7 linked regions of the Coturnix japonica genome follow. The protein of the gene in region 6 interacts with the protein of the main gene of each other region in a pairwise test. Links are inferred from orthologs where the notes say so. Each region holds a gene or a part of one and is shown on either strand. Other genes may lie near its edges. The genes, in order: TRAF3IP1, CCDC88A, SRGAP2, CCSER2, SH3BP5, EXOC1 and CEP295.

Evidence for each region.
Region 1: the proteins of EXOC1 (region 6) and TRAF3IP1 interact in a two-hybrid assay, tested with the Homo sapiens proteins (2 studies listed by BioGRID and IntAct). The link is inferred for Coturnix japonica from reciprocal best matches to the Homo sapiens genes EXOC1 and TRAF3IP1.
Region 2: the proteins of EXOC1 (region 6) and CCDC88A interact in a two-hybrid assay, tested with the Homo sapiens proteins (2 studies listed by BioGRID and IntAct). The link is inferred for Coturnix japonica from reciprocal best matches to the Homo sapiens genes EXOC1 and CCDC88A.
Region 3: the proteins of EXOC1 (region 6) and SRGAP2 interact in a two-hybrid assay, tested with the Homo sapiens proteins (2 studies listed by BioGRID and IntAct). The link is inferred for Coturnix japonica from reciprocal best matches to the Homo sapiens genes EXOC1 and SRGAP2.
Region 4: the proteins of EXOC1 (region 6) and CCSER2 interact in a two-hybrid assay, tested with the Homo sapiens proteins (2 studies listed by BioGRID and IntAct). The link is inferred for Coturnix japonica from reciprocal best matches to the Homo sapiens genes EXOC1 and CCSER2.
Region 5: the proteins of EXOC1 (region 6) and SH3BP5 interact in a two-hybrid assay, tested with the Homo sapiens proteins (2 studies listed by BioGRID and IntAct). The link is inferred for Coturnix japonica from reciprocal best matches to the Homo sapiens genes EXOC1 and SH3BP5.
Region 7: the proteins of EXOC1 (region 6) and CEP295 interact in a two-hybrid assay, tested with the Homo sapiens proteins (2 studies listed by BioGRID and IntAct). The link is inferred for Coturnix japonica from reciprocal best matches to the Homo sapiens genes EXOC1 and CEP295.

What each region holds. Positions count from the first base shown.
Region 1 is NC_029522.1:3,293,141-3,297,276, forward strand, and holds the start of TRAF3IP1 (TRAF3-interacting protein 1), read right to left. Parts: upstream 2,801-4,136; 5' UTR 2,728-2,800; coding exon 2,605-2,727; intron 2,337-2,604; coding exon 2,268-2,336; intron 890-2,267; coding exon 728-889; intron 1-727.
Region 2 is NC_029518.1:7,440,475-7,443,974, forward strand, and holds part of CCDC88A (girdin), read left to right. Parts: intron 1-1,112; coding exon 1,113-1,251; intron 1,252-1,871; coding exon 1,872-2,048; intron 2,049-2,588; coding exon 2,589-2,750; intron 2,751-3,500. UniProt on the Homo sapiens protein: Bifunctional modulator of guanine nucleotide-binding proteins (G proteins). Acts as a non-receptor guanine nucleotide exchange factor which binds to and activates guanine nucleotide-binding protein G(i) alpha subunits.
Region 3 is NC_029541.1:2,704,039-2,707,538, reverse strand, and holds part of SRGAP2 (SLIT-ROBO Rho GTPase-activating protein 2), read right to left. Parts: intron 2,837-3,500; coding exon 2,702-2,836; intron 1,638-2,701; coding exon 1,532-1,637; intron 670-1,531; coding exon 445-669; intron 1-444. UniProt on the Homo sapiens protein: Postsynaptic RAC1 GTPase activating protein (GAP) that plays a key role in neuronal morphogenesis and migration mainly during development of the cerebral cortex. Regulates excitatory and inhibitory synapse maturation and density in cortical pyramidal neurons.
Region 4 is NC_029521.1:365,817-369,848, forward strand, and holds the start of CCSER2 (serine-rich coiled-coil domain-containing protein 2), read left to right. Parts: upstream 1-1,232; 5' UTR 1,233-1,375; intron 1,376-1,685; exon of another isoform or gene 1,686-1,904; intron 1,905-4,032. UniProt on the Homo sapiens protein: Microtubule-binding protein which might play a role in microtubule bundling.
Region 5 is NC_029517.1:38,182,618-38,186,117, reverse strand, and holds part of SH3BP5 (SH3 domain-binding protein 5), read right to left. Parts: intron 378-3,500; coding exon 247-377; intron 1-246. UniProt on the Homo sapiens protein: Functions as a guanine nucleotide exchange factor (GEF) with specificity for RAB11A and RAB25. Inhibits the auto- and transphosphorylation activity of BTK. Plays a negative regulatory role in BTK-related cytoplasmic signaling in B-cells.
Region 6 is NC_029519.1:58,594,265-58,597,764, forward strand, and holds part of EXOC1 (exocyst complex component 1), read right to left. Parts: intron 3,390-3,500; coding exon 3,284-3,389; intron 1-3,283.
Region 7 is NC_029516.1:166,208,461-166,211,960, forward strand, and holds part of CEP295 (centrosomal protein of 295 kDa), read right to left. Parts: intron 2,985-3,500; coding exon 2,844-2,984; intron 1,449-2,843; coding exon 1,265-1,448; intron 448-1,264; coding exon 280-447; intron 1-279. UniProt on the Homo sapiens protein: Centriole-enriched microtubule-binding protein involved in centriole biogenesis.

The sequences.
Region 1 (4,136 bases), on a different chromosome or scaffold from region 6:
GATTTTCTATTTCTTTTGAGACGCACCTTATATTTCTGCTCTTCTAAATCAAACACCTCTTTGTAACTCTTGCAATAATTTGATCATGCATACTAGGCTTATATAAACAGGTGGTGCTTTTTATCTACTGTAGCAACACTAGATATAAAGCTAGTTAGAATCCAAACCTTTTCCACAGTGCACATCCAGCTTATGTTTCACAGTAAAGACAAAGGGCTAATAATCTTGGCTCGAATGGACAGACATCAGCCTTTGGTTATTACATCTCATCACGACGCTGTACAAAGCTGTACCATCAAACTCAGCCCATTTCACCTCCTCCCTGCCAATCTCAAGCAATTAACAAGGAAGAAGTCTGTCTCATTCAGTTAACTGAAGGGAAATAATAGCAGTGTAAACTATCAGATCATCAGACAAAGATTACCCAGACAAAACCTTCACACAGCTTGTGAATACTGTAGTATTTTGCTGTTCAAGGAGCAGTTTCTTCTCACTCATCACTTCACAGGTTTTTAGATGGATATCTAGAATGTATTTGTATGGGGACCTGGCTCAAACTCTGCTTAGGATCACATTCTATACATCTGTTATTATAGTGGTAACCCAACACAGTATATCTTCTGTAATTAAAAGTAGCTAATGAGTGTCAAACTCTGCCACAAATGAGCTCTGATAATGTATAACACAAATACATATCTCTGTAATGATGTAGATGGAGATGTCATACCTTTTTTAAGCAACACTTCCCAATGGCTTGCAGAAACTCATTTGTTTTCTCAGGTTCGTGCCCAGCCACAACACGTGCTGGTTTTACTGACAGTGGCTCTCCTGTCACCATTACCACAGCATCGATGGCCTTCTGAAGGAAGCTGATTTTGGCATCTTTATCCTAGAAAAACAATTCAGAAATAGCTGTGAGATCCTATAATAACTCCGTACACCACCTCAAGGTTAGGAAACCTCTGACAGGAGGAATCAGCTGCACAACATTCTATTAAGCACATAATCATAGACTCATGGAATCACAGAATCATAAGATGCCTCAGATTGGAAGGGATCTCAAGGATCATCAAGTTCCAACCCCCTGCCACAGGCAGGGCCACCAACCTCCAGATCTGGTACTAGACCAGGTTGCCCAGGGTCCCATCCAACCTGGTTTACATACACATCATATAAAGCTGACAGGAAACACAACTCACTGAGATCCATCCAGCTGCACGCTCTGTCAGTTTGATGCAGTTTACAGATAATTCCCGCCTACGAAATCTGCTTTTTGGATCCACAAATAAAATGGACAGTGGTCTCCAAAAAGAGAATTAACCATGTACTAAGCTACTTTTCACGGAACCAATTATCAGCCCTAGGAAGTGAATAAACCACCCATTTAACTAGCTATAGGCGAGCCAGTAGCTTTAGTTGCTATGTTAAACAATCACCAATGGCTGTAGCTGTTTAACTAGCAACACACAACATGCATTATCTGCCATGAGTAAGTGACGAGTTTTGAGCCTAGCTGGTATTGGGAGAAGGCAGCATGCATTGCTTAGCAAAAGAGGCAAGCACTAGAAGGTGAGCAAACACAGACTTGAGTCACCCTCGCACTTAAGAAAAGCATTTTCACTAATAGCATTACTTTCAGTAATCAGACTTTCATAATGGCTGTAATAATGGTAATAAGACTGTTGTAGAACACGCATAACAAGATGCATTATTAAGCAATAATATCTTCTGTATGCGTGTATAAAGTGCATATATATATATATATGGATCCAGAGAAACACTCAAGCAGTGTTCTGTTACTTGAGGGGAGCTTATAAACAGCAGGGAGACCAGCTTCACACACAGTCTGATAGTGACAGGACAATGGGGAATGGCTTTAAACTAAAAGAGGGGAAATCTAGGTTAGATGTTAGGAGGAAACAGTGAGGCTGCCTGGAGAAGGGCAGTGCTCAAAGCCAGGTTGGACGGGGCACTGGGGCAATGTGTTCTGTGGGAGGTGGCCTATGGCAGGGTTTGGGCTTTGGGGTCCCTTCCAACTCAGAACATTCTGATACACCTCAACATATCCAAAGAAAGCCCACCATACCTCCCACTGTTTCTACACCATGCCTGAATAAAGCAATGGAAGCTGAACACAGGAAAGAATCACACACAGAATCACAGAATTACCCGGGTTGGAAGGGACCTCAAAGACCGCAGGTGCCTTGCAGCACGTCTCAGAGCCCGTTTTTATTCAGGCTGAATAAACAAGGAAGCTTCGTACCCACCTTGACATTATCTGACTTCAATTCAAAATCCGTGTAAAGCCCTTTCATGAAGCCCGTCACTCTAATCACCTTGAGAAGACAAGGAAAAGGATCGAGTTAAGGGCACTCGAAGCTCCTACAGAACAGCATTAGGCGGCACTAGACCGTGGCCTTATCATTAATGATAACTATATTAGAGCAGAAGGCTGCTGCCTTCCAGCACGGCGCGTCACACAACACGAGCCGGGACCCCACGCCCCTCCGTGCCCCCCCCAGGCGGGGTTACACCCCCAGCCGCCAGGGGGCGCCCTGCTCAGGGGGCGCCGACTCTCCGAGCCCCGCCGGCGGGGAGGCCCACCTCGGTGATGACGTCGTGCAGGTATCGGAATGGCGGCTTACTCAGCAGCCGCTCCGTCAAGGGCGGTTTGCGGATCACTCGCCCCAGACTCTCCTGTGTCCGTCGTACCACCGCCTCGTTCATTGCGACGGCGGGGACGGCGCCGCCGCCGGCTCTCAGCGTTCCCAGCCTGCCCCGCGGCGCAACGCGCCTCACTGCGCATGCTCGGAGCCGCAGCACGCGGTTGCTAAGCACCGCGCAGCCATAGCAACAGGCACCGCCGCCATCTTAGGCCCTGCCTACGTTATGTGAATATAACCAGGGTCAACAAGGCCGAGTGTGAGGTGTTGCACTTGGGTCAATGCACTGCAGATATATATATACATATAGGAGAAGTATCTAATCCCATACAACCTGTCAAATGCAGTGGTTGTATTAATAACTATCAAACAGTGAAGCACCGGTGCTCAGTTAATATGTCTTTTGGTGATTATTAATTTTTAGTCATTGTTCTTTAAATAAAGTACAACAGACTGACACACTCGGAAATTAATGAGGTTCCCAGACAGGCTGTGACTACAGGATCCTGTAATCCTAGGAAGAAGAAAAGGTGTTGACAGCTTCTACATCCAAGAGGTCTCAGAGGAAACAGACTGGGAAGAAGCTGCTCTAGGGAAGAGGGTTGTTTATGTTGGAATCATATGGTTGATCTGGATTTCTGCCACCAGCTCTATGAAAGTGTCTGTAATGCCTGAGAATGAATCGTGGGGGTTTAGTTCAGCTTGACCTTTGGCATGCTCAATTTGCTGAAGAGGCAGTGCCCCAAGGAAGCACAGCTCAGTTAATTGAGGAATCAAAAGCAAGGAACTCACTAAGACTCCATGAGTCCCCGTGGTACTAAGGGGAGGCACAGCAATTTAAAAGGTATCCTAACACTGTAACAGATTGCTTGAGGTTTAGTCTGGAGACTCTTCTGCTGGGGAATATACATGCATGTTGACAACAGAAAGCACCCTGTCTGTCTCTTCAAAGTTGTGCCCACTTAAAGTCTGAATTCAGTGGCTGTGTGCCTTTGTGTTACCAGGCAGAAGCAGGAGCCCAAAGCTGCCTTTCACAGGCAGGATTTCTAGCGTGGCTAAGAGCAGTGTTGTGCTCAGGAGAGAAGTCCTGACACCGTGTGCTTGGGAACATCCTCTTTCTCCTATGATTTTCATTGGGTTACACAGGTTATACTCAGATGTCCAAGAATACCTTAGGCAGAGAAACTCTAACTGGGTATTACTGCAGAGTACTTGTTTTGAAACAAGAACTGAAGGTGGACACCCAAACCCACTACCACCTCTATAAAAAGGAGGACCACAACAGCCTTATTCCAGAGGTGGAAATGAACAGCCACACCTGAATACAGCCTCTTACTATGGCCTGTCTTCAGCTAAGAGAAATGGCAGAGGAAAGGCCCATCACCAGTTGTGACCTATAGCTATACAAAATTAAGCTTATCATCAAACTGCCACACACAAAAGGGATAATGGGCAATTATTCTGAGTCACCAG
Region 2 (3,500 bases), on a different chromosome or scaffold from region 6:
ACAGAAATTTGTACCATTTCTTGTTCAGTATTCAAAGGGATGCCAGGGATTGAGTCTCTGTTAATAGTCTTTTTCCTTCTTTTTCTATGTAAGTGTATAACTTTCTAGTAATAGAACTTATTTGTAGCTGAATGCATGCTTCAGCTCGCAAAGATGAAATGCTATCAGTTCTACTTTTTCATAAACTGCCTGTTTCTTGTACCTTAGAATCTAGAATTCTCATCCTACTATATAATGTTTTTGGACAGCTTTCTACTTACTAATTCTCTGCCCATTGGTCTTCTGCTCCAGTTCCTGATTAGATCTAATGCTGTTGTCAATTGAGGAGTCTCTTGCAATTCTCTTCAATCTGAGTTATTTTTCAGCAGTTGAGATTAAGAAGGAAAGAGTTTATGGCTGCTTCTATTTTATCCTACAGCTGGCAAAAGCGGGATGTCTTCCAAATTCTGAACACATGTACAGTGACAGCAGCTGAAAACTGATTTGAGTGTAGCCTTCTAAAATCCTATTTTCTAAAAGGTCTAATAATGTATTAGAATATCCTGCACTGACAGTTTCAGGAAATACTGTTATAAAGCAATATATCTTAAATCTGGTCACTTCTCTCCAAAATATGTGATTGTTTCTTTAGGTGCCCTACAATATTATAAATATACCAAAAAAAGAAAACCCCAAAGGCCTCTTCACATGTCAGGAGTGGTAACAGTCTTAAAATAGCAGCAGCTGGGCTGAGTGAGCAATTCACACACTCATGCATCAAATGAGTATGCACCTGCAAAGAACCGTTCTTATCCCTAATGCCTCCTCTATTGGAGCAGGCAGGAAATGGGAATTGATGAAAATCTTGCTCTCCAAATACTTCACATTTGAATTTAGTTGCAGTCCCTGCTGGATTTGCTGGAGTGCAGCCAGAAAGGAGGGTGCTGTCAGCACACCCGCACACTAATTCTCCCAGTAGTCAGTGCCCTACTGTTGTGGCTGAGTATTGCTTATGTGTATCTGTTGCCCTTGAGCCTGCTGCTTCAGAATGTCGTGAACATTTAAAGAACCTGAAGTAATTGTTGAAATAAAAGCATATATATGGTTTTTTTTGGTGGCATGCTTTTGAATAGGTACAAACTTTTGGAGTCAAAATTGGAATCCACTCTTAAGAAATCTCTTGAGATAAAAGAAGAAAAAATTGCTGCTTTGGAGGCTCGTTTAGAAGAATCAACAAATTTAAACCAGCAGCTCCGTCAGGAACTTAAAACAGTAAGGAGAATGTCTTCTTTTGCGTAAGGTTAAATGAATCATATTCCAGCTACTGTTGTTGTTTCTTACTCTGTGCTTGGTATTTTTGTTTAAGACAGCAAAAAAGATGAGTAACCTTGGGGTAGCCTAAAGCAGGGCAAAGGTGTAATTGCTTTTTAAAGCTACAATAATACAGGTCCAGAATTGAAATCACATGAAAAGAAGTTGAAGATCATTGAATATGTCAGTTAGATAAATATTCTGAGGTCTGTTTGACTTGGGATGCCAAAAAAAGTTAATTCTTGTTAAGTTACTTTTCCTGAACTACTTTGAGCCTGAATGGCTAATCAAAAAAAGAAATAGTCTCTTTGGTTGTTGGACTTCATTATGAAAGCTGAGAGATACAACTGAAAGCTCTAAAATAAAGTCTCCTTTTGGTTTGTAGTCATATTTGTCGGCTTATTATGGTTGAGCTATCAGTATCCATACATCATTTTTGCAGTATCTCATCAAATGTACACAGAAATACAGAGATATAGAGCATTTTTTGTACTCTGGAAAGTGGTACGGTTGTATAATAATATATGATATAGGAAATGGAAAACTGTAAACTGAATGCAAATTGTCCTAAATAATTTCAGGTGAAAAAGAACTATGAAGCTCTCAAACAAAGACAAGAAGAGGAAAGAATGGTTCAGAATCCTCCTCCAAGAAAGGGAGAAGAAAATCAGTCAGTCAATAAGTGGGAGAAAGAAACCCAGGAAACTACTAGAGAGTTACTGAAAGTTAAAGATAGATTAATTGAAGTGGAAAGGAATGTAAGATGTGCTTTTTCTGCTGTTCTCATTTGAAATGTTTGTCTTGAGCTGTTCTAGTAATTTGAATAAGGATATTCTTAAAGAAATGTGCTATTTATCACCTAATTTACAGAATCTGTGTTGTATTTCTTAGCACAGCTGGGTCTTGTGATGCTATAAAGCACTTGACAGGCATTTAAAAGGGGAAAAAAAATGTATATCTGAATTTTTCCCTTTTGAATCCCACAAATCACTCATATAATCTTTATATACACGTCATTGAGAGTTCCTTACTGTTTCTCCATTGGTAAAATAACAGCCATTATTTCAATCTTCAACTGTAGCGATATCATTGTATGTTACTTTTGTAATATAAGGTGATACGGTTTTATTCCACTCTGTAAATATCTGTGAATGTTGTAAATCTCTTCCTTGCTGCCAAAGTACAAAGGATCATAGTAGTGTAAATCACGCTGCTTTATTTGCTTTAGAGGAAGTGCTGTTTCTAAAGTTCCATAAAAACCTGTGAACTCAAAGTTTCTTTTGTGTTGTTGCTCAAAGAATGCTACGCTCCAAGCAGAGAAGCAAGCACTGAAAACACAATTAAAGCAGCTGGAGACACAGAATAACAATCTTCAGGCTCAGATTCTTGCACTTCAGAGGCAGACTGTCTGTCTACAGGAGCAAAACACAACTCTACAGACCCAAAATGCAAAGCTTCAGGTAATATTTTCGTATTTTCTTTTTAAAAATAAATTCAATTCTGAGTTGTTTTTTTTTTTTAAGCTAATGGCAACAATGTAAGTCATGTTTTGATTCTGGTGTACATATGGAAGAGAAAGGAATGTGCAAATAATATGCACTAAGCACAATCAAATGATATTTAGTGATGATGGAGAACAAACTTTCTAGGAGTTGCTTTTATTACCTTGTGTTTCTCCTATTTAAACTTGTGGCTTTATAATCAGGCGTAGAGTAGGTTCTCTTAATCTGCCTTTTAATATATATATATATAATTTAATTTATTATTATTTCTTTTTTAATTCTAAATTAGGTCAAGGAAGTAGATGGTGTGTCCACAGAGACTACTAAGTTATTCTATTTTTATAGCTGGAATTTAAAAATAAATAAATAATCATACCTAAAAGAAAAAGCAAGGTGTTACTTATCAAATACATGGTTTGGGGCTTTTTTTTCCCCTCTGATAAATAAAATACGCTTCTTAATGGATTGAGTATGTTTTGGAGCTCTAAAAATCAAAACTACTTGATGACAAATTTAATATAAAGTCTGCAGTTCAGCACAGATAGATGCCGAAAAGTGATGAAAAGTGGGCAGAAATCAATGAGTGAAGGAATCCTTAGGTGTGTGAACAAATAATGTATTTTGTGAATGCCTTGAGTCATCTTTCTGTCTTCTGCTGTTGCACCCCGGATGCACTTTCCATCTACCACACTGAAATCTAATTAGCGC
Region 3 (3,500 bases), on a different chromosome or scaffold from region 6:
CCCCCACTCCCCCACCTTCCCCTGCAGATGACAGGAGCCGCGCTGGCTGAATTGCTTCCAGATGTTGCTTTCAGACTGAACATGCGGCCAGGCCTCTCGAGCTTTAAGCTGGATGGAAATGGTGATTCTGCATTCCTCTCTTTTCCCTCCCCCCACCATCAGTGCTGCCCTGAAAACCCGACTGTGCCACAGCTTTCTGGGTTCGGCTGCAAGTGATCCTTCCTCTGAACTAAAGCCACTCTACACAGAGAATGCAAAACCAGGACTGGAGAGACTTTCTAAGCTAATGACTATCCAGAGACACCTTCACTTGCATTACACTGAATCTCAGAGGCTGGACTAGATGCCTGAATCCCGTTTAAGACAATGCAGAATGCACGGTTGGAGCATTCAGGCCAGCAAACATGCACCCATTCATTTTCCCCACGGTGGAACCCATCATACCAGTAATCCTCAGTGCTTCCACCTCTGCTATACGTTGGACCTTCCAGCTCTCTCGGTCCTGGGAAGATGTTCTCATGTTGGATGATGATGGTTTTGATCAATTCATTGACGTGGGCTTGGCAAGAGACTTGGTCGTGACCTTCAGGCACAGACATCAGCGTTGGCCCAAAGCAGATGGCTAAATTGTAGGGATCCATCATATTCTCTTCACTGAACTGAGATAAACTGCAAGAGACAGATGTGGGGAGGAGGATTAACAACAGAAAACGTTATCATCACCACCACCATCATCTGCTGGAGAACACAGATGAGCGAGTAGGGCTGGCTTTGGGCTTCCTGCTGCTGAAGCTGCTTTGCTGGCACTTGAATATTCTGGGGTTTTGTGAAGAAAAGACAGACTGACAGCATTACAAAAAGATGAAATAGAAACCCCAACGAGATTTTAACAGCCTTATTGATTTCATCCCAGCCCTGCTCAAATCCCCGTTTATAGTTTAGCCACCTTATACAGATTTAAAACACATCCCGATGCAATCTCTCCTTTTTCTTCGTTCCTGCTGTTAAGATGAGTGTGATGAAGAACAGCAGCATCACTCAACACTACCAACTTTAGCAGGGAAGTATTTAAACGTGCTAACTCCCAGGTAGGACATTTTCTTTTCATGTTACCCCAGGTGTCAAATCCTCAGTGCTGAAGGAAGTTGTGGTTGAACTTGATAATCTTTAAGGTCTTTTCCAACCTGAGGAATCCTATGATTGCATTGGGCTGCCTAACAAACCCACCAGATGTGATGGACACCTTTAAAAAACAGTAATGTCAATCACACTATTTAGTACACGGTGCTTCTCGCTGGTGGTGTGGGATGCAATTTCTGATCTCTCCTTATCACTTTTTGCTTAGCTTGCCAGCAACATTATTCACTTCCATTGCTGGAGTTCCTTTGAGATGGCATTAACATTTGGAGGAGCGTCAGCAAGGCTCAAAAGCTCAGGACGACAGATGCAGGAGTCATCCAGTGACACCTGCACTTTAAATTGCTGCTCAGATTGCAGCGGTATCAAGGCTGGCTCTGCAGCAGGTACTCACTGATTGAGGAATGCAAAGAGGTATCTCATTATGATCAGAGTGGTCTTAGGGAGGTTCAGAAGCACCTTTCGGATGTGGAGAGCTCTCTCTTGCAAATTATCCATTGCTGAAAGGAAGAAAGAGAATCACTGAGTTATCACCACATCTCCAACTTGCCACCGAGTCCAAATGCAGACAGTATATGGGATGCTTCCCAGGTGAAATATTAAAACAGGCAGCCAGCATATCACAAGGGTCAGCCTGTTTCCTGGATTCACCAGCTCCCTGCCAAAGGCTGCAGGTCCTGCATGTGATGCCTTTGCAATTATGGGCCCAAAACACAGAAAACCTCACTGCAGGCTCCTTCCTAGCGTGGGAGCACTGGATGTCATCTCCTTCAATAGCTCTGGCACAATAAGCTCATTCAAGTTAGCTTAGAAAGGTGGGTGTTCAGAAGAAGAAATCGTACAACACTCAAAGGAGAATTAACATAGTTAAGGGGTGAGGCAAAACGCTCTGTGTGCAGCAGCCTACTGAGAAACAAGTGGGCAGCATAAATCATCCCAGAAAGGGGAGCTTATTTGGAAGCAGATTTTTTCTTCTTGTGTAATGTGAATTCAACTCTGTAAACGCATTTAGCAGGAGAAGACAATCACAAGTCATTTTAGAAGCAGTTATCTCTCGCTTTGCTTCAAAGGCCGCCACTGCAAAGGCCATTTCACCACCAGAACAATGGAATCATTCTTTCATTCTAAGCAACATGGCAATAGTGAGGCCGTGTAACATGAGGTGACTCCAGTACCAAAACACAGACCGACCCCCTGCCCACCACCTTTAAAAACAACCAAAAATGTCAGCAACTGGACTGCCACTGCCCTTGTGATTGGAATTCTGTAGCAAGAGGCAATAGATGGCCCCTCGTGGCTACCAAGCCAAAGACAGAAGGCTACTGCCTTGCTGAACAAAGCACGCAGGAGTGTCAGCACACAGGCAGCAGATCTATTAACACCAGGAGGAAACCCTGCTGGAAACACTTTCTGTTTCTGAAACAGCATTTCTCACACCTCCTGATAAGAGGTCCTAAAGATCAGGTTTTTTTCCCCAGAAGTGGAGGATTTTGCTCTATTCTTTGTCTCAGATAAATCCACAATACAGTCTTCACAATCTATTCATTCCTATCTCTATACTTACTGACACAGGCAATCAGATCATGAAAGATGTCCTTGGGGAAGAGAGGGTGCTCCAACCCTCGGAAGTAGAGCTTCAGAACTCCTGCTATTGAATCCATGTCATGGTCATTCTGATCCCCGGCCAAAGGATCTTCACCTGGGTGACAAAGAAACAAGCAAGAAAGATCAGAAGAGTGGAGAAAACAATCAGGATGGAAGGATGCAACTCAGCTGGAGGAAAAGATTTACACAGCACAGAGTTCATCCCACCTCCCCCAGCTGCACTAACAGCAACGAGGCAGAGCTCCCTGAAGGCAGCAGTCAAGAAGGGAAGCTTCTAATAGAAACCTCAGCTTCTTGGAGTGGTGAGAGCTTCACACAGCCTCTACTGAGTGCAACATCACATGGGTTCAGCAGTAAACTCACAACTGAAGCCCAACTGCATTCGGTTCACACATAAGAGGGCAGTGAGCATCATAACCATGCTCAGCAGGAGCACACACCTCGTGCTGAACTGCAGGGGGTGTTTCTGGGACAAACTATTTGTCACTGCAGATATGCCACTGTTTGTCTGCGTGACAAAAGAGAAGATGCCCACTTAAGGAGTTGCTCCCTATGGAAAACTCCCCATTGTATATAATTAGATTTAATGACGGGGCAAACCTCAGATTGAAGCTATCTATATCCATTATGTGACTGGAATTACCAAAGCTCGCCTATAATCTTAATAATGCACCAGATAATAAATGGGCACTAAGAACCAGAGCATTATCCTTGATATTAACTGCCACCAAGGGTTCTGGTGGAAGTAATAAACTGCA
Region 4 (4,032 bases), on a different chromosome or scaffold from region 6:
AAGTGGATGAAATGAGCTTCTAGTCCATCTCCCAGCACAATAACATCCATTTAAATCAATTTAGTGTAAAATCAATTGAACAGAACGTCCTCAAGATGGAGACACATCAAATATTAAAATGATACGGAAAGATAGCGCACTCGATCATGGCCAGATCTTAGCCTGTAGTCTGACACTAGGACTGTCAAGACTGTCCTCTTACTTAGGCAGTCAGAAGTTCAAGCTGTACAAGTAATGTGTCCCTTTCTGAAGTTATTCATCACAGCTATGAGTTTTGCATCTTAATTGTTAGGCTACACGAGCACTGTGGCAATTTGTTAGATGTCTGAACACATAGTAGAGGTTCTCAACTCTAGGCTGGGCTATCTTTCTTTTCATATATATACATATACCACCACTTACAGGTCAGCAGACAGTGTATGTGCCTCCCCTGTGCTGGTATAAGTGTTCATGGTCCTCTGGTCTGGCAGAAAAGGGTATTTACAGTGCTGAGGATGAAGACATTACTTGCCAGCACCTGAGAAAAGCAGTGGGAATTTAAGAACACCCTAGTCAGCCTGTGATATAATTTATCTTAATTTTGGGAAGGAAATTGAGAAGTTGGAAGGAAATTTCAGTGGTCATTTCGTACAAAGCAGGAACAAGTCAAATCTGTGCTAATGCTGTTGATGTTGATGTTAGTGCTCAGAAGCTGAGAATGACTGAAAGAGGATGACTGTGCGGTTAAAGCAAGGCCGCCTGACTCAGGAAATCTGAGCTCATTTCCTGGCTTTGCTATCTCTTTAGCTTTGCGCAAGAGATTTAATCTCTCCACTTAGGACTTTTTTTTTTTTTCTTTCTTTCTTTCTTCCTGTACCATAGGGGAACAATTACGCTTCAAGTTATTCTAAGAATAAATCCATTAATGCGACGGGTACATTCAAGTTCAGGCGAGAAGACATACAAAGCCTTTGGCTGTTGCTCCTTATTTTAAAGAAGGCCTTTATTCTGCCTAGGGGGCAGATGTATCAGGGTTCTCACAGGGCCGCACGGTCTACATGCTGGGCTACCTGCAGGCCTATCTGCCTAAGCTCTGACATGCAGCCTGTTGTTCTACCTGCCTAATGGCCCCGTTACGGGGCAGAGCGATGCGCACATCGCACACACCGACGGGAGCGGGCGGGGCTGGAGGGCTGGGCTCGCACCGCCCGCCGTGACGCCGGGTGGGCCGGGGGATGAGGAAGGGAGGCGGCGGGCATGCGTGGAAAGGGCTGAGCGCTCCGGCCCTCCCTCCTCGGGGCCGCCGGGCGGGGCGTTTTGCGGCCGCTACCTGGGTGCGTGGAGCGGCGCGGCTCGGATCGAGGACGGGGCGGCTCCGGCTGTGCCCGGCACGGCGGTGAGTGCCGTGTCCGTCCGTGGCGCTGCGCTGCTGAGCGACCCTCGGAGTCCCTCGGCTGGGGGCGGTGGGTGGCGGCAGGAGGGGGCTGCGGCATCGCCGGCTCCGCAGGCCGTGCGGCTGGAGGCAGGGAGGGGCGGGGAGGGCTCTCCTTGCGGGCTCAGCCGCACCCTCGGGGACGCTGCGTGCCCCAGGTTTGTGCGGGGGGCAGGTAGGAAGCGGCTTTAGGCAAAAAGAACCCGGCGCACGGCTGTTTGAATACAGCAATTAAAAGCAACGCTGAGATGTTCTTCTCCGTGATGTATTTCAGCTGTACCGCGGCTCAGATTTTCCTTGAGCCGTCCGGAGCACGTTAGGCGTGTTGCGCGGTGACACAGCTTTGCTTGCATCACCGTGCCGCTGCCTGCACTTTGACACGCCATGAGCCGCCGGCAGCCGCAGCCCTCAGCTCGCAGCACATCGGCTGCACCGCGAGGGGTGCGTGGGAGCTCGGTGCTGTAGTGCGATCCAGGCCGTACAGCGGTTTGAGGTGAGGACGGGAGCTGTGTTATGCCGGTGCGGGGAGCGGGTTTGTTTCTGTTGTACGTGGGCCTCCAGCCTTGATTTGATGCAGAACAGGAAGTTCTGGCGTTATCACGGTGCTGGAAACACATTGAGATGGCATCCAAGGTCCCTTTTGTTGTGTTTTTATAACGGGGAACGCTAGAGGAATTTCTTGAAACTTGGAAAATATGTTTTCTGTACAGGGTTAGAAGTTGGAAATGCTTCATCATGTTAGTGTGACGCAGTGAGTATTTAATCCTGTTTAGTCATACTGAATGAAACTGACAGTTTCTCAAGCATTTATAGGCTCGCATACCCCTAAATGGTATGGGCCCACCTAGAATGTAATACTTCCAAGCTGAAGAGGTGTCACCAAGCAGATGGTAAGCTGGGATCTGTGTCAGCATACAGCTTGCAGCAGCTACAATGTAAGTTTAATCTTTGCTCATAGTCAACACCTTTCAGAATAGCGATCTCTATGTCTGCGCTCCAGAAATGGCTGAGTGGTGTCTTTAATCATAAGGCTGCTTTAAAAAGTAGGAATGTTTAGGGTTTTGGAGGGTTCTACAGTTACTTTTTGTGCATCATGACACCTTGTGTTTCTGAATTTAATAATTAATATGTATGACTATATGAAACATGAATAGTAATGACCACAATTAACATGATGGTCTCAATTAACATGGTGTTATACTAAGAAGTAATCCTGTTTAATGGAACTGCTCGTGTAAAAGCTTGCTGGAGTAAAACCTATTAGTTTTGGACCTGATCATCCTTTAAGATGGATTGGTTATTTGGAGTAAACCAGTTGCAAAGAAGAGCTGGCACAGGCATTTCTCTACATAAAGTCATCACACCTTCGGTCGTCAAAAGAACATTGTTTGTCTGCAGTTGTTAAAGAATGTAGGTCTGTGGGAATGGAGGAGACAAGAGGGAGCGAAAGGTTACAGCTGTGGCTGTGGTGTTTCCTTTTTGCCACTGTTGTGAATTGTAAACTGCCATCGCCTTAATTAGAAGCTTTCAAGCAGGATTAAATTCTTTGCCAACAAGGATGCTAACAAGATGAAAATACTAATGGTGGTTTTGATAATTAGGTTTAAAATCCTGTATTGTGATTCAATTGAAGCAATACAGAGGCTTATGTAAATCTCTGTATAACTGAACGTGTGTATGTTAAAATGAAATCAGAACAGCATTAAAGTAATTATTCCAAAGGTGAAGCCTTAGTCAGTGTAGGTCTCTGTATTTCTTCTTACCTCTGGGACACATATTGAATCTCAATTCAGAACTTCTGTCAAATTAGATGCAGTTTTGAGGATGCTCAGATCCTACCATTCTTAGCTTAAAGCAGCTTGATTCACAGAGCTGGGTTTTACTTTCTAGCTATTTTCCCTCTGTTCTGAAGGGGGGGATTCAGCTGGAACTCTTCTATTGACAGTACTGTATAGTGAGACAAGAATCCTGGGGCTGGGGGGTGTGTTTCTCTGGTTATGTGGGGAACTGGTGACACAAGTTCTCAGTGAAATGCCTTTTTCACAGCACAGTTTGTTGGGATTTTCATGTGCTCTTAGTCCATGATGATTTGAGGTAGTGTTCTGCAGAGTGCATTTTAATGGCTTTGATTGAAGAGGAAGCATGGCTACTGCTGGCAGTGTTTGCTCTGCTTGCATTGCCTTAGTTTTCTAGCCAGAGGAAAACAGCTGGTGAGATTTTACTTTAATGTGGTGGTTGAACAAGTTTGGGGTCTGGAAGAACCCTTTAATTGCAAACAATTTCTGACTTGCAAAAGAACTCCTATGTTTTAGGCTTCGTTGGCCCAGATGGCTTGTGGCACACTCAGCATAAGTTAAGCTGAACATCATGGGAGTGTGTCCCTGAGTATCCTGGGTTCTCTTGGCTCAGAAATACCACGTGTGGTTTGGGCTCTGTATAGATAGAAAGATTCCCAATAGACTATGAATTTGTGTGATACTTGGTTTCAGTTTGTGAATCATATTAATGATAGAAATACATGTAAGAAAAACTAGACTTTACATAGTAATACTATTACATAGGCTTGTTAATCAGTGTTTTTTGATGAGTTGAGTTCTTGCTTCCAGCTAACATGCATCTCA
Region 5 (3,500 bases), on a different chromosome or scaffold from region 6:
CAGCTTCAGGGTTTTGTTTTGTTGTGTTTTTTCTTCTGTTTAATCCCATATGCCTCGTTCTCAAGTCACTCATTACGGAAGATTTCAGTGCACTAAAACACAACTAAGAATACACCCAGGAAACTTCTCTAGTACAATTTGTGCTGCAAAGGACAACATCTTTTCACAGGTTTCCAAAATCCCACAGAATCCCCTGTCCCATGAACAGACTTGACCACTAAACTCATCTCCAAGTGTGAAACCTACTTTGATTTATTGATGGCTCTTTTCAGCTTCTTTTCCAGCTGCTTCATCCTCCCCATGGCAGCATTGTATTTGGCTGCGGTCTCCTTGTGAACCAACTCACTTCTTGTCTTGGTTTGTTCTGCCTCCATGACCTGTAAGAAGGAAAACAGAGGTTGAGGGGCAAGACCCAAGCATCCATTTCTTACCATTTTTATTAACATTATATCTACAATCTCTCAAATTAGGAAGGGGCTGAAGATGAACCAGAGGGATAAGAAGACAGCATGCAGTTCAGCCTGTCCCCTCTATCTGAAGCACCAGCTACCAGAAAGCAGCCCATCCAATGAGACAGCCTTTGTCATAGAATCCATGAAGGCTGGAAAGACCACTCAGATCATCTAGTCCAGCCATCAACCCATCACCACCATACCACACTATTCAGTGTTATATCTATCCTTTCCTTGAGCACCTATAGGGGCAGTGACTCCACCAGCTCCCCTATAGCCTGTTTTGCAGAAGACAAGGAAGCTGCCTTTCCTCTTGAAAGAGACAGCCAGCCTCAAATCGTGACTTCAACATCAAAAAAGCTTTGGGCCATGAACTGGTCCACTACAATGCAGGTGGGGAGCATTATGCTGAAGATCAGCCCCTAACCAGGGCAGGCAGATGCCTAAGGCACAGCAGTCCCATTGGCTGCCCTGCCAGCATCCTACAGTCATGTTTTCCCAGTAATTCTGTCTACGGTACTTTCATTTTGCAGATTTGAGCTGCCTGAGGCACCAGAAAATCTGTTTTCTCTAATGCACTGGCAGACAGGATTTAGCAAGAGACAGAACTGATTTGTTTAAAGGAATAGAAGTGGTGACACCTCTCCATTGGTCTGACAGTAAGCAGAAAGCAGGCGGTCTTCAGGCATCCCTTGTTTCAACCCTGAAAGTATTCACAGAAAAATGCCATGGGCCAAATCTGCACTACATCCCCATCAGCTGGAAGGTCGGCTGCCAAACTGGAGGCCACAGTTACTCCTCTGCACTCACCACTTGTTATTACACCAAAGTTGCTATCTGTGAACTAAAAGATCTGATTACACATATACTACGACAACCTTCAACTGCTTCACATGTGAATAAGGCATCCACATTTGAAGTTTAAAAAATAAGAAAGAAATCTGATTGATAGCAGACATTCCCCTGAATCCCAGAAACAAGTTATAGCCTCTCATCTTGAAGTCTCAGAAAGCAAGGTTGATGCAAAGACCTTCCCTGGTGAAATATGCCAGCCAAGGCTGGTTTTAGCATGGAACTGACATAAATTAGAATGCGGTCTCCAAGGACTGCACAAAACCTGGTTTGCTCCTTTGTAGTGTGGCAAGGCAACCGCAATTTACAAATGCTGCAAGCTACAGAATAATAGAGCAACTGAAACGTGCTGATTCTTAATTAAATGCCAATCCTTGCCATCCATTCTTGGGGTGAAATCAGCATGGGATCAACCACTTCAGCACTATCAGCACCATGGTCTTCTAACAGGTGAGGTGTTCTGCCTCTCGTGGACTTCACACATCTTTCACATCAAACACCATAAAAATGCTTCATCCTGCAAGACAGATTTGGGGATGACAGATTGTAAACACCTCAAACTATGTGACAAAATACGGAATTTGCAGCCAGATATCTACGCCCACATTTGTTACCCTTTTTGGAAGGGAAAAAAAAGCTGCATACTTCATCTCCCTGGGAAATCAGCATTGGGAGGCAAGCTTCTCCTCCTGCTGTGTGGCTCTTATACGGTCATGCTACCAGCCTGCTCACATTACCCAAGTGCTCTGCCCAAGGGAGTACAGCTCACAGTGTGTTCGCTAGGCTGAAGACATGGACGTGATCCTACAGCACCTGGAAGGCTGTTCCACATCAGTATCACCACAGAGAGCTGCCTCCTGTCAGGATGTATTTAAACCTTTCACCCAGTCAAGAAGAAACAAAAAGGTCATCTGCTTCTTCACGGAAGCAGAACAGCGCCTTAACATAGAATCTGTCTGCCAGGACATGTGGATAGAAACAGCCTAGGTTCTACTCTAGGCAAGTCAGTGAAAACCCTCAGCTTTTAAAAAGGTCTTAGTAGAGGACAGATGAAGTTTGTGTGGGGGAAAAGCATCAAACAAGTTTTTGGTCACACCATCTGAATACGCTTCTTTCTAATGTAAGACAGTGCTTCTACCGACAAACCTTGCCAAGGCCATCACAGATGCAAGATCATCTCCTTCAAAAAGCCAGAGACAAGAGTGAAGATGACACCTGCTCATAGGTATCAATCACTTCCTCTTTCCTCATCTACCCTCTGTTTCCAACCCAGATGCCATGGAAAGGAGGGTCAGTACAAAATATATATATCTAGCAAATAGGTCTGCGCAAGTGGCTTTGTCCCTCTCAGCCAAGAAATCTTCATCAGCTGAGGTCAAAGATGGACTTCAGGCAAATTTCAGCAATAGCAGCTGCAAAAGAAACATTTGCCAGTGAGATTTAACAAACCTGATCATCTGAGCCAGAGAATTACTCTGGACATCTGTTTCTTTCTCTAAAAAATTAAATGGGCGACTCTTCTAGAAGAAGAAATAAAAGAGGTAAGACAGATAACGCAACACCAGGAAACCAGAAGGGCAGAATCAATAACACAAGGGATAAAGATAGTAGAGGGAAGAATGTAAACACTGTTTGACTTCCATGGTGAAAAGATGGAGAGATAAGAACAGAGAAAGTTGTGGGTATCCCTGTTGCTTATTCCACAGCTTCCTTCCCCCCTTTTTCTCCAAGTGGTTCTACCTGCAGGAAGTCTCTTTTCTCTCCACATCATGAAAGCTCCCACGCATTTTACACCAACAGATGGTACTTCATGGTGTAATAGCAAAAGGAGCTTTGCAAGCCAAATTAAAGCAAGAGGGAGCAAGCCTTCTCCCTCCTTCCTTCCCCCCCACCCTTTCCTTTTTAAAACGTCTAGTGATCAAGAGCCAAAACATGTCTTCTCCCTGCCAGAATTTTTCAATGGAACATACCTCACAAAAGACTGCAGATTGCTCTGGCAATTAGAAATCAGCAAGATCTCACGCAGGATCTTCTTTTCTGCTCCAGTTAGTCTCAAACTTCAGGTAATATTCTGTCAGCTCTTTTCTTTTGGATGCATTTATATCCAAGAATGACCTTTACATAATTATAAATGCAAAGATCTCTGCCCCTCATCCCTCCTTTCACTGGCCACCTGTGCCACCAACTCCAGGTACC
Region 6 (3,500 bases):
AGACAAAGACAAGTTAAAATGCAGTTTGCACAAACCATGCACAAGATGCAAGTTAAGCTCTAACTGGAAAGAAACATGCAAAGAACTATAAGCAGCAAGTAACTACATGGCAAACACATTTAGTTGGAGAGGTATTATCCTACAAATTGAGAGAATCTAAGCTACGTGGAAAACAGTACACTTTATTTATTGAACTTTTTCCTATACAGTGTATCAAGTTCTCCCAAATTGAGAAGTTCTTTGAATTAGAGATTTATAAGAGTAAATATTGCAAAAGACTCAGTTTTCAAGATCAACAAACATACTGATACCGGACAAAGAAATTTAAATGCATTTATATGGTTTTATACTGAGTCAGAAATAATTTACCACCTCTTCAATTAAAAAAAATAAATAAAATAAGAACAGAAACACAGTACTGCAAAAACCATTTGTATATGTAGTAGGTCTAGTTAACCACTTTGGTTGTCAGCAAATCAGGATGCTTACATTGGGAATACATCTCTGTATTCATGCCGCATCAAAAACTGATGACTTCAAATTTGAAGAGGATGAAAACAATGTATTTGTATTAAAAATTGCAAGTGTTTTGTTTTTGGTTTTTTTTTCCCTTTCCTGATTTATGCCAAATAAAACTGTTTCCTCAAGTGAAATTCAAGAGGAAATTAACAGTAAACAGGCACTGCAAAAATTTCCTTACAGCTGTAGAGTACAAAGAGAATCCCTAACCAGTAAAAGGCATTTGCATACATACACTAAAAGCAGTATGTGGTATTAGGAATATTTTGATGAGGATGGATCCCCAAAATGGAGCAGCCAACAGAACCTACTGTGACAGAATGAGAAAATACTTCTAAACGCAACAAACGTCTTAAATAACAGATGTTCTCAAGTAGCCAACACCACTGACAATTTTAATGTTAAACTCAAAGTTAATTCCAGTCTAGTTTTTAAATCTCGGGCTTGGGGCAGTTTTTGAATAAAGAAGTGTAGGTTACATATATTTACTGTATGCATATGCCATGCATTTGTCCCTTTTCTTCATAGTCCCCAGCTTCCAAATGCATGGGACAATATGACAGAACATGAAGAACCTATAGGCAAAGATCAGGCCCAGGACAATCAAAGACATCATACTAGCTTTTGAGAAGCCACATAATGTAAACATATGACAATAACAGCACACTTTCCCCACACTTGATTTTGTGGTATTTAGGTATCAAAGTCTTGGCTTCATCACAAAAATAAAATAATTAATTAAAATAAGGACTATTTAAGACAAGTGTGAATGCTTATGACTTGGATTTCTTTTTTTTCACCATAAAAATGCAGACAAAGAACCTTGCACTAGCACAGAATGCCAGAATTCTCCCAGCATCCCCACTGCGTTTGAGGCATTCCAAGAGCAGTGCTATTCCCAAAGCACACACACCAAAAAAAAGCAGGAACACACACCAACACAGCTTGGAAACAGGTCATCCTCAGTGTCTGAGTACAACTGCAGCATTATAGACCTACACTATTTTCTTACAAGTTTGCTAATAAGAAGTGATATATTTTCAATTAATGCACAACCAGTCACACTGCAATCATTATCTCCACATGGAATGCTTTGTAATTACACATCATTATAAGCTGTTTCAAACTAAATACATAACTTGATATTTAAATTAAGTGAAACCGTATTCATATAACAGCTTTTTAAAACACTGATAATTTGCTTTTCCATCTTTGCAAGTGATACCAATAAAAGCATCATTAGTTCCGAGGAATGAAGTTTTACTGTTCTAATACATTATCAAATTAGCTTGTTGCCCCAAGTAAATGGCCACTGCTATCTATCCATTTTAATGGCACAATTTCCATATATAGCATTAGAATTTGGGGGGAGTTCTCACTTCTAGTTTTGGCTTTGTGATTGGTGCCTACCAGTTTTCACAGGACTGCACAATTGGGCCAAGTTTTCTATGCGAGTCAGTCTCCAGCAAAACTCAAGCAGACAGCTTTGTATGACTGAAAACGTAACACTACAAAAGAAATCAAGCCAAGAGAACTGGTAAAAATATCCTTTGCTATTTTCTTCTTAGACTATTCTGTGCAAAGTTCAAATGTGCTTGAAATTTGCACATACACACAACAGAAGCCTTCTCAAGTGCAGCTCTTGCACTGCTGAATTGAAGGACCTCTTTCTCCAAAATGCCACAACATTTACAGACATCAGGAATATAACTGCTACAAAAACCATTTCATCACAAACACAGATCACAAATGAAGTGCTAGGATATAATGTTTTAAAAGTCACTTTATATTGGGTTTTATTTATAAAAGTGTTCGGTCCTTCCAGTAAGACAGATTTCCAGGCTTTAGGAATTTAACTGTTCTGACAGTGAGACAAGGCACCACTTGTCTTCCATGTCCAACACCTCACCAAGACTAATCCTTCCAGCTACCCGCCCCTCTTACTCAAAGCCTCACCATTATCCCACTTCCTTACTCTCATTACTTTTCTCTATTTTCCAACATCCACACAACCCAAGATAGGCCTGAAATAACTTTTTAGTTCAAACTGCACCTCACTTTTGAATTCAGAGTTTGGAAACAGGCAAACTGTGACATATTGAATATCTTCAACATTTTGAACCCGTTCATTTGAAAATACAATACAGACAATTTATATGTATTTCTATACTGTTGTTGCTACTTATTCAGTTTAGCTTCACTTCCATGCTCATACTAGACATTTTACTTTATGAGGAACACATACTCCTTCAAATAGGAAGACCTACAAGTTATTAAGTATGATATCTAGTTTTTAACTACATAGCAAATCTCACACAAGTTTGCTCATGTAAAATCAGTGTTAAAAACAGCTTTAAGTCTGAAGCCTTAATAAAAGCAGAATAGCAGAAGACATACATAAACACATGTGCTGCTCAGCCTTTCTCTACCTCCAAGAGCTGATTTTCCAAATTTCTTACAATAATAAAATAGGGTGGTTACAATACTAAAATTAAGTGGTAATTTATAAAAATCTTGAGTGTAAATTTAAAATTTGAGAAATATCAGATCCTTCCAACTTGCCCAATTTCACAATAATTCTAATGTAATTCTTTGGCCTTTGGGAAGGTAGAAATACCATCAATCATATTTTTCACCCAACTTACACCTTGCAAAAAGTAAACAATTTTAGACCACTATAAAATTGCCCCAAGATGTTCCAATGAGTATTTTCTAAGTAAATAATAAAAATCAAAGAAAGAAATACGCCTTCCTAGAAGCTTACCAAACTTTTTTCCTTCTTTGGTTGTGCCTGTCATCTTGATCTTGGCAACTTCAAAGAAATCTTTTATTTCCCTTTCATATAGACGTGATAAATAATCCATGTAATTCTTAAATGAAAAATGTAAAGTTAGTTAACAGGAATATATACTTACTTGTTTCGAATACAATTAAATAGATCTTAAAATAAAACAGCATGACAGTGCAAGTTCTACTGAATA
Region 7 (3,500 bases), on a different chromosome or scaffold from region 6:
ATCTCATCATATGCAATAGTTACACAGAAAACACTATAGTAACATTATTGTTCTTGCAGCTAAAATAATTATTTGCAGTATTCTAGTGAACTGAAGTGTATTAGAAAAAGCAATTTCTACTTCAAACTTGTATGTCAGAACATTCATCATCAGTGGCGAGCATCATAAACCACTTAACTTTGACACTTCGTATACATTATGGAATTTTGGTACTTAAACATTTTAGCTTATACTAACATACAATCTCTTTTCTTCTACTACAGAACAAGAAAGCATTACTTTCTGATTCACCGGGGACCTCCTCCTTTACCATCTGTCCCGATTCTTGCTGGCCGTCACAAACAGATTCTTGCTCCAAAGAGAGATCGAGATCATTATCTTGAGATTTATCAGAAGGGGATGGCAAAGGCTGCGGTTCAAACTGCAAAATCAAGTCTCCTTTCATTTCTAATTAGAGGAACACAAACACAAAAAAGTGACCAATTAGAATAAAATACTCACAGGCTCAGTCAAGAACTTGCTGGCATAAGTACATACGTGTCTTTGACAGACAACTAGAGACAAGAGGATCCAAGGTCAGTTACTGCTGGCATTGATAATGTGTACGTGTTTGCATAGACGCTGCATCTGTGCATCAAGAGATGGAGTGAAGCAGCAGTTCATGTGTCCAGACGCCAGCTGCTGGGGAGACTAAGGAACCAGCACTAGCTGGGTAGAATGATTATTTAAAGCCACCTTACTAAGAGATCCATAGCACATGTTGAGCACAGCAGTGCATGTATGGACACTCCAGGGTAAATGGAAGGCTACAAGGTCTGTGATCAGCTACTGGACAGAATGAGTATCTAGTTTTAAGTACCAGAGTATCCATTCTGAGCTGAGAGTGCTGTAAGGTATGTGTATGCATATCTGTAAACAAGGGTGCTCAAGCACAAGAAGCTGGAGTAGGGCTGTGAGCCTCAGCACCTTCTAAGCTCAGATGCCAGCAACTGGGTAGGTCTGGGATGCAGGGATAAGATACTGGGTTGACAGTGTCTCAAAGTAACTTCTGGAGGGATCAGTACTGTGCAGATGTACTTCCCATAGGCCTCCATCCTGCTCAGACAGAGCAGGGAACAGGATGAAGCCATCTGTACTGTTTGAGAGCACACCCACCAGGAAAAAATGTGCACCCTCACTACTTGCTGTACCTGGGAACACGCAGCTGCAGCAGCCTCTCATCTGCTGGGCAGCCAGAGTCAGAATCCTCCCACAGATTACTCACTTCTGTCCTCGTTGTACATATCTTCAAAGGCAAACTCCAATTCTCTCTGCCAGTCTTCTTTCATTTCCACGCGTTTATATCCAGGTACAAAAAGTTGAGGTGGCATCTGAGCTACCATCTGCCTTCTGCGCATTTGATCCATTCTCTGCATTTGTTCAAGTTCTTTCAGTAGCCTTTCCCTGTCCTTCAAGTAAGGGGTGAGAAGCACTCGGCATTAACTTTCAGACAGCAGTGCATCAGAACTGATAAAATACTTCCATTTGGATACCGTGAAGTTAACTTGAGGTGTTTATAATTAAACTAATCTTATCCTAGGAAGCAGGTGCTTCCCTGGCAGAAGACCCTATCTGACCTTTAAACACAAGAGCGCTTCCAATGTAGAAATGCTAATTTCCCAAATATTTGTGACACTAACAGACAATACACCTCAGAATGTAGCTGTAGAGCTTTCACTTCTCAGGGGAAATGACTTCCATATTTCCAGACTTTTACAATACAAGTGTATGCCTTTCCACTGCAGAAGCAGTCCTCCTAACAGGTCACAGCTGGTGCTGCAGACAGCATCATTCAGAAGCCCCTGCAGTTGGGGGAGAGTAAGTTCATGTTATCTCCACCTCTTGCTGTACTGGGTAGCAAAAGGTCATTACACCTCTTGTCTGAATGGGATACAAAGGTGAGGAAAGTCTGAGAGAAGCACCAACCGCTGAATGAATACTTTAAGCACTATTTTCCAATGTAAAATGAACTGTAAAATGTCAGAGATGGAGGAGGACTGAAAACGAGTCTATAGATTTCAATTTTCTTCAAAGGACATTAGTGAGATTTAGGGTGGCTGACATTCTCAGAGGTGCTTTGAAAAATGATACCCATCATTCTGGACACAATTTAAAATCATTACATGCTTTCTCCTCAGTCTCACAGAGCTATAATGTAAACAAGCTTTTAAACAATGGCAGTATGAGCAGTTGATGAAATGAAGACTCAAACCACTGTTCTGCCAGTTCTGTGATTAATTACCTAAATCCTTCAAGCAGTTCACTCATGAGGCATTTCACCTCAGAAGCACCTTTATAACCAAAAAGTCAAGCACAGCAAACAGTCATCAAGTACAGAACTTGCAACTTTGTCAAGGCTCTTTTCATTCAAAGAGAAATGTGTTTTTTTCCAACACTGTCATGTATTTAAAACACAAGAATTCCATTTCTACTTCCCTCTGAACTGACACAGAGGATTCCCCTGACCTCAGCTACTATGTAAACAAACAGCAAATACTTCAGATAAAGACACTGTAATGTTATGAAGAGCTATGGCACAAGAAAAGCTGACTTGTAATGTCTACTCTGCATCCAAATATATTTCCAATTTATCTTGGTGAAAGATCACCCTATAGGCCTCCAGACAGCTCAAACAAGCAAGCTGAGTTTGATCATGTTTCAAAAGCATTCTGAAAACCCTATTAAATCCGAACATCTTCCTCTTGAAACTGCAGTTGCTCCGGCAAATACCTACCTATAGCTTACTTAACATTTGGCATTAAAAAACAGGTACTGGTATGACATTTAATGTCTGTTTTGCCTACCTGAGCCAAATGGACCTTCTTCAAGGCATGACTTCCTCTCAGATGTGCCTTCTCAAGCTGCTCTCTTCTCTCCCTCTCTGTCTCCTCGTGTAGCTCCTTCAAACGCTTCACCTCCTCTTCAGCTGCCAACCGAGCATCTGGCTGGCAGACAATTACTAGTTTAGTCCACTGAGTTCTTCTGGTACTTTAAAGAGTACTTAATATTGAGTAATTCTATAGCAAAAACACTCGGAATTTACAAAAAAAGCAGAGAATGCAATATGAACTGCCCTCAATAACTTTATAGTGTTCAGTTGCAGGCAGGACCAAACAATATTTACACATAGGAAAAAAAAAAAAAAAAAGCAAACATACACATTTTACAAGGGTTAGGTATTAAAGTATTCTAGTTTCAAACTCCACTAGAGATGATTGTTCATCCATTTTTTATCGCAGTGATTATTCTTCCTACAACATCAGGTGCAAATGAATAATACCATCAATACTACAGGTTTACTACTTGTATGCTTAAAGGTTTTATGTTAGAAAATAACCAAAATGTTTCCATTCTCATTTGAGAAACAAGAAAAAGATCTCCAAGTTTTAAGGAAGTCCATCTTTTACTTCTCCAGCTCCTTCTCTTCTTCTGATCAAACTTAGACCTGGGACTATACTGAA